Schizosaccharomyces pombe: one gene and its partner. Each later gene encodes a partner of the first gene's protein in a complex. Each region holds a gene or a part of one and is shown in the gene's direction. Other genes may lie near its edges.

Region 1 (4,056 bases):
CCTCAAAGACGGTTGAACTTAACACAAATGGTTCAAAAACCGATGCCTCCTCCGAAAATGGAACAGCCAGCAATTATCCTGAGGGTTTGTGGTGCTTCGACGAAGCCATGAAAATGGACCCAGAAACGACTGTCAAGTTACAACTCGACCACTTAAACAAGTTACGCACTGTCCATGGCCACGCTCGCAATTTTGTGAAAGCTGATAATTCTCGTTTTGTTGATGAAAAGGGTACTGAGCATCTGGACTTAATTGGAGGCGTTGGAGTCGTAACGGTCGGTAACAACAATCAGTATGTTTGGGATTGCTTACAGAAATGCTTTGATGCCAAGTTATATATGATGGGTGCCATTTCCTATCGTAACCTTGCAGCTGCCTTTGGTCGCAATATGGCTTTGCTATCTCCTGGTCAAAAACTTACTCGCACATGGACTGCAACCGGTGGTGCTGAAGCTAATGAGGGAGTTATTAAATTGATTCGCCTTGCTACCCGTTATAAGCCTAACAAGAAAAAGTTTCTTTCTACTTTGAACTCTTTCCATGGTAAAACCACTGGTGCCGTCTTTTTAGGCGGCAAAGAAAAATGGCAAAAATATCAAAGTCCTGCTCCTTTCGACGTTGACTACGTCCCTTACGGTGATGCGGAAGCACTTCAAGTTGCCTTATCCTCTGGTATGTACCGTTCATTCATTGTTGAGCCTATTCAAGGCGAAGGTGGTGTTATTGTCCCTCCTCCAGGTTATCTTGCAAAGGCTCGTGAACTTTGCACTAAGTACGATACATATCTCGTTTTAGACGAAATTCAAACCGGTTGTGGTCGTACCGGTAAATTCTGGGCCTGTGAATACGAAAACATCATTCCGGATTGTATCGCTTTCGCCAAAGGATTTTCAGGCGGACTCATTCCATTTGCAGGGTATATCGCTACAGAGGAGCTTTGGAATGCTGCTTACAATTCCCTTGAAACGGCTTTTCTGCACACTGCCACTTATCAAGAAAACACTCTTGGACTTGCCGCCGGTGTTGCTACCATCGATTATATCGTGCAAAACGACCTTCTTTCTAGATGCCGCAAGTTAGGTGGTATCATGTTTGATCGTCTTAATAAACTTCAAACAAAATTCCCTCATGTTATGAAGGATGTTCGTGGTCGAGGAATGATAGTTGGTATTGAATTTTATCCCATTCCTGAGTCAGTTCAAGAAGAATTCGGCGAATACTATGCAACTCCTATTGTCAATGACCTTGCCGATACATATCACGTCCAAGTCTACTGTTCACTCAATAATCCTTCAGTTTTCCGCTTCCTTCCTCCTTTAACTATTCCAGAAGCCGACTTAGACGAAGGTTTGTCAGCCGTTGAATCTGCTGTTGCAAAGTTTGATGCTAAGGTTAAGGAAGCTGTTGCAGCCAAGTCAACCTAAAACTTTGGTTTCATCTATCATTAGCCCTTTCAGGCTTTTAGTAAAGTTGGGTCATCAGGCATAAATGTTAATTTTTTTATCTTCTTATCTAGTTTCAGCTTTTATATGCTCCTTATATTGTTTCTTGCTTACATGCAACGTTTGAGATAAACCATCGATTGTAAAATTATATAAACTATATAGAACTATTTTAAATCAAATCGTTCACTTTTTAAAAAAGATATATAAAACGGAGTTGTTAATTTACTATGTATGACAGAAGAAAAACTTATACGAAATTCAGCTTTGTTCTTGATTTTTTAAAAAGAATGAAAAATTGAATATCTAGAACATGCAACTAAATAAAAAATTTAAATTTTATTTTATTATATTTATAATTAAATTCACAATCAAAGCAGATTAAATACGTAAAATCCAGTTGTTCAGTTAACCATCAACTTTACCATGGCACGAAAACACACATTTCCTTCTTTGAAGCGTGCTGAGATTTTAGAATGCATAGATGGTCTTGGAATTCCATTCACGGCTAAAGAGCTTGACCAACCAACCTCGAAAGCCGTCATCCCTCTGTATGAAGAATTTCTTGACTTGTTTATGGGGTTGACCCGCCAGAATTTAGAAGAGAAGGTTAATTCGTTACAAGATTCTGTCGAGAATTTCGAGATAATACATGAGTCTTTAAGATTTACTGTTTTTTATCAGATTTTAAGTCAATTCATGCAAAACATCTGTTTTCATGACTTTACGATTCAAGACCTATTGAAACCAGACAGAAATCGACTACAACTAATTTTATCAGCAGTTATTAATTTTGCAAAACTCAGAGAAGAGAGGTTACAGCAATTTGATGATGATATACAGAAGCGAGAAAGCCTTCTGGAAACGTATACCCTTTTAGATGCACAACGAAAAGATTTAGAGGAAAAAGTTTTGTTAAGCCAAGATAGGAAATTGGAAAGTGAGGCAATTATTAAACAGAATGAAGAAAGAAACGAAGAAATGTTTCAGTCTTTGATAGAAGACAAACGATTGTGCTCTCAAGTTCGTACAGAATATGATCGCATTAGAATGGAGGCCTCAGAGTTAAAGATTAGGTATCACAACGTCGATTCATTAATGGCCAGTACTTTGGAAGAAATTGAAAAACTTCAGTCCTCTATTGTACATTCTCCTGAAAAGCTGAAAGGAAAGATAGCAGACACATCGTTACGGATACAAAATGATCGGTCGCAGCAAGTGGAACTGGATAAAAAGTCAAAAATTCTGCATACAAAATTGAACAGTTTACAGTTAATTGAAGGAGACTTGAATGCTTGTTTGAAAGTGCTTGAAGAATGTCTTGTAGAATTGGATAAACTGGAACATGCTACTGTGTTGCTTTCTACAAATCAAGAGCTTTGCGATCAAATAGAAATAAACAAAAAAAAACTTGAGTTCAGAAAAGAACAACTTTTAAAGCAATTATCTAATGCTCAAGAAAAACTCGAGCATGAACAACATTCTCGAAATCAAAAACTTGAGGCTGCCAAACAACGAATGGACAACATACGGGAAGAATACAAAGTAATTACCCAAGAAAGGAATAAAAAGATTCAGGAGACTGAAAAGAAAAATGCCATGATAGAGATGACCGAACAAAAAATTGCTGGAATGCGAGAAGAACTGGAGTCTCAAATATCCTCTATAACTATGGAATTCGAAAAATTGAAATCGCACGTGGAGCTTTATATTGCTGAACTTCTCAGAAACTTAAGGTCTTCTAACTCTTAGTATCTTCATTTTGAAAAATCTTTATTCGTGCAAATATTTCAACACTACCTATAAGAACGTTGGTTGGACTTCGAAGCCAGAATTTTAGATTTTACAGTAAATGTATATAGGTAAATCTTGGTAATTATTAATATTTTATGACTCTATTTATAATATACCTATGGAACAATCCCTATTTTTACAGTCATCTTCATAGCTGAACGTGACAGGATATTGAAGTATAGGATACTGATTATAGTAAAGCTTTTTTGTAGATTCCCAAAATTGGCAATCTAAAGATATTCGATTAACTTTGTCAAACTTTGGTGTTTTGCCTCTTTGCTGACTTCTGAGACCTCTGCCACGCCTTCCAAACCTGATCAAAAAAGCCTCAATTAGAGCCATTTATCATTCGAGAAAAATTACAATGTGGAGGCCTTTAGAAAATACACCAGAGGTGCTGGAACCTTACTTACAAAAAATCGGTGTACAAGATGCTAGCGTTTTTGACCTGTTTTCATTAGAGGAAATCCCCGAATATATCCCTCGTCCTGTCCATGCTCTTTTATTCGTTTTTCCATCCTCAGGAACAAAAACTATATATAAAGGATCACGAATTTTACCAAAGGATAGTGACAAAGTCTTGTGGTACCCTCAAACAATTCCAAATGCTTGCGGAACGATTGGATTGCTACATGCGGTTTCGAATGGAGAACTTAGAAGAAAAGTCAATGAAAATGATTTTATTAAAAGTCTAATCAGAACTGCTGAAGGTTCATCTATCGAAGAAAGGGCTAAGCTTATCGAGGATTCGAAAGAACTTGAAGCTTTACATGCAGCATTTGCTGGTCCACCTTTGGAAGTAGAGGGGTCTGAGGAAGAT
Region 2 (4,146 bases), on another chromosome or scaffold:
CTCAGCAACTTGTTTGGCTAATTCAGGTCCAACAATTTTACTGACTTCATCAGGATGAATGTTTTCATCATGGCCTTCGGCAGCTTTGGTGCTGGGGGTGAAAAGGGGTTCAGGGAAGGCCTCTGCCTCTTTCATTCCTGTAGGTACGTTAAGGCCATGAACAGTCCCTTGCTTTTGATATTCCTTCCAAGCACTTCCAGTGATATAGCCACGAACAATAGCTTCGATAGGAAGAATCTTGTATTTCTTAACGAGCATGGATCTATCCTTTAACTCTTCATGCTTCGTGATAACAGGAGGTAATTCTTCCCACCTAGAAGTAATCAAATGAGTTTGGACATGAGGTTTTAAAACATCAAACCAAAATTCTGAAATTTTTGTCAAAACCTTTCCCTTCTCAGGGATGCCGTTCTCCATGATAAAATCATAGGCGCTTATTCTGTCTGTTGCTACGAACAAAAGATCATCGGGAAATTCTACACACTCATACAGGTCTCTGACTTTGCCGGTAGCAATTTTAGTGAATGGAGCATCCAACGAAGTTTTTAATAATGCCATTTGAAATGAACTTGATGTAGAAATGAAGGTTTAAACTATTCCACTTGAAGACAATTAGCTTTTGGTATAAAAATAACAAAGTATTTAAAGAAAATCCGTGTGATCTCTTTTCATTTCGTTTTAATATGCTTCTTCTGTATGAGGTCTATATAGTATAACATAGAACATCGATTAAAAATTTCAGAGAAACAAAAGCAATTACAATTATCAAAAAGGATACTATTACATAACATACCACTTAGAATTGGCTCCAAAAAACCCTGGTTTCAATGAATCCAGTTAACTCTAACTTTCGATGTAGTAGAAAGGAAAGATACAAGAGAGATGAGACAGATCGTCGTAGATCTTGGCAATACACTGAGACAGATTAAGAACAGATAATCAGTAAAGATTCTTTTCAATTATAAAGAATTTAAAAATTCCGAAATAAATTCGTATTTGAGGATGATGGCAACCTAAGTAAGTGCTCGAAAAGTAAGTTGTACAGGACATGCTGTGGTTATAAATTCCATGTTTAATTAAAATAAATAAAACAAATAAATTAATAATTATAATAAGAAAACTATTACTTCACTTAAGTTAAAAAGAGCTTTAAACACCGACTACTGTTGCCTTTTTGACTGCAGAATATTTTGAAACAACTTTATATAGGAAGTGTTTTAAGAGTAGGATAATTCAAACTTTTAATTCTTAAAACTATACTGGATCCTTAAAGTTCTGGCTTGTCTGCAAAGCCATGTAATCTAAAATTGGGTACTTTCTGTAAATAATATGCAGCGATTTAAAATCAACAATAACCAGCTAAGTCTGAAAATTACTACAATTTAGATTTTGTACATATAGAATACTCGAATATTTTTCATTATACTTATATTTGATTATTCATCTTATTTATCGTCGCTATATTTTTCAACAATTATGATAAAGTACAAGCTCAATCCTGGCAGCTCATGGACATCTTGACTATTTGTCAAAAACTGTAAACAGTTTTAATGGTAATAATATCCACATTTTGTAATTTGCATAACTTTTCAGCTTAGCATTTCATGTCGCATTCCTCAATTATATATATATATATATATATATATTACATAAACAGTAAACTTGATATAGTATAAGAAGAGGTCTTATGAATTTATAAGGGGAATTAACCAACCATTCAATGGATTATGTTAAAATTATTATTCTTATTATTTTACAGCAGAAAAAAGGATATATATTTTTGTTTTTGCAAGTTCGAAGATAATCTAGCAATTAAACAAATATTTTATACCAAGTTGTAACAAGTGTATCTCCAAAAAGAAAGGAATACTTAACAGTAAAAAAGAATTTAATCATTATTTATTTTTTTATTTATTCTCTACATGAATATACTTTGCTTTGATGAATTTTCAATGCTCAATTGTAAGGCCGACTTATAACGCGCTCGCTATACTTTGTTAGGTTACCTAGTGTAAACAATGAGTAAGGTAGTCTTTGCAATCCTGACTCGACTTGACCCTAACCAGCATCCATTATGAAACGAAAGCCTGAAGAGCAGGAAGGATTTGTATTCGTTAGGAAGGGTAAAGAAAAAGCTGGTTCTAAAAGAAGGAAATCATCTGTGGAGGATGATCCAGATACCTCCCAAACCGATGGGTTAGTTGAGCTACCCGTGTCTGATACACCAATTGTGAAGCGAAACAAAGAACTTCGCAAGGGTAAAGGAAGAAGGAGTAGTCTTGACCAACGGGGTAAGCGTGCTAGTAGCATTGGTACTGGATTTGAAGCTTTACCACATGCAGATGTTCCATCGCATGAATACTATCGCCATATATCCAAAGACTTATCCGAACCTTTACGTATCAAACAACTTCTCCTTTGGGCTTCTTCAAAGGCCTTAGAAGAGCAAAGAAAAAAATACGGTGAAACGGAGGAAGCCAGTGAGGCAGCTATTGCTAGATCAATAGTTCAAGAAGTTCTTAACGAATTATTGGCTAATAAAGTTAGTGTTAGTTGGTATCAAAGACCACCTGATGCTGTAATTCCTAATAAACCTCATCCTCAAAATCTCAAAAATGCTCAGCTAGTGGACGAACTGTCGGCAAAGCTTACCCAACTCCATAATGAAGAAGCTGCATGGCGGGCTGTTGCTGCTAATTCCGTCAGTTCAGATAAATCAATTTTATCTTTTAAAAAAGCTGTAGAATCCATAGATTCTAAACAAGACCTTGATAAACAGGACTCTCCATTACCCCCAGATGATGCACCAGAACTTCCTAATATAAGTAAGCTGAAACCAAAATTCCACACTCTCCTGGACATGCTTGCTGAAAATATTCATACCTTGCATTCTTTGACTAACGCTGGACCTGAAGTCCGATCATCATATGGTCGCCTTGCTGCCCAGGATTTCATAGCCCATCGTAAAAGTTTGTTGTCCTTCTCCAAATATGTGGATACTATGAATTTATTAAGGCTTTTATCAGAAGCTTCCTATAAATCTTCCTCAAACGAATCAGTTTAAAATTGGATTAATCTGATACTGTTATGCCCAAATTTTTACTTATTTTTACGTTAATTTTATGTCTTTTTGCGTGCCATTGCTGCTAATTAACTAATAATGAAGGTGTGCAAACCAGCTGGACTGTGTTTGAAAATTCATGTTATACGTTATTTCAAAGGAACTCCTATAGTAGTAGCGCGCACTCACATTACTATCTACACTCAATGTACGATACATAACTGCTACTATTCACCCAATATTTAGAATTTATCAAAGGTTTCATAGTTAATTAATTTGAAATATTTGAGAAATAAATAGCTTTATCTCTAAAGTCTATATTCTATAATTAAATTTTAAAAAGCGAGAGCAGACATCGTCGCAGGTTTCGAAACATGTAACGTGTAATTAACAATAGCTTTATGATAACCAGAATACACGTGGTAAATTCCGTCATAATAGTAACGTAAAACTTTCAAACACAAAACCGCATACATGAAATTAAAAAAAAACCACGATTTCTATGAAGCTTGGACATTATTTAAATATTAAGGCAGCTTCTCAAACGCAACGGTGCACCAATATTGGAGACAAATTCAAGAAATCCCAAACCCAAACTGAAACTGTGGGGACATGAGCTAAAGAATTTTAAAAAATTTTAGCAATGGATAGGTGGAAGCATGCTTAAGGAACATATCTAAGTTCACTTATGGAATGATCCCTGAGGCGAAAAAAGCAAAGCAGCAAATTCTGACCGCTTTACGAAGCCAAGATTGTTGGCATATCTTTTAAAAAAGTGGGATAGCCAACTGAAATAATAGAGGCTTTAAATTCCTTGCATGTACACAACGCAAACCAAATGCATAACGAAAAAAAAGACACAAAACAAGCTGTTTTAAACAATAGCGGCCTTGGATCTAGCCCGAATCTTATCACCAAACAAGTAAAAGGTGAAAGGAATGGGAATAGCGGCAACGGCAACCATACCCAACAAAAAGAAGGCCCATTGACGAGTCATACCATCCATCATATAATCAATGAAAAGAGGGAAAGCGGCACCACCTGCGGAACGAACCATTGTTTTAGCAGCCAATGCTGACGCACAG

The links.
Region 2: nuf2 (region 1) and mis13 share a complex: the UniProt entries of both Schizosaccharomyces pombe proteins name them as parts of the NMS super complex.

What each region holds. Positions count from the first base shown.
Region 1 is NC_003424.3:4,321,020-4,325,075, reverse strand, and holds nuf2 (protein Nuf2), read left to right. Parts: upstream 1-1,852; 5' UTR 1,853-1,868; coding exon 1,869-3,194; 3' UTR 3,195-3,556; downstream 3,557-4,056. Other genes in the region: SPOM_SPAC27F1.05C (aminotransferase), read left to right, coding at 1-1,424; ubiquitin hydrolase Uch1, read left to right, coding at 3,601-4,056. UniProt on the Schizosaccharomyces pombe protein: Acts as a component of the NMS (Ndc80-MIND-Spc7) super complex which has a role in kinetochore function during late meiotic prophase and throughout the mitotic cell cycle.
Region 2 is NC_003423.3:1,153,530-1,157,675, reverse strand, and holds mis13 (MIS12/MIND complex Mis13/Dsn1), read left to right. Parts: upstream 1-2,054; 5' UTR 2,055-2,074; coding exon 2,075-3,064; 3' UTR 3,065-3,372; downstream 3,373-4,146. Other genes in the region: ade7 (phosphoribosylaminoimidazolesuccinocarboxamide synthase), read right to left, coding at 1-558; SPOM_SPBC409.08 (spermine family transporter), read right to left, coding at 3,936-4,146. UniProt on the Schizosaccharomyces pombe protein: Acts as a component of the NMS (Ndc80-MIND-Spc7) super complex which has a role in kinetochore function during late meiotic prophase and throughout the mitotic cell cycle.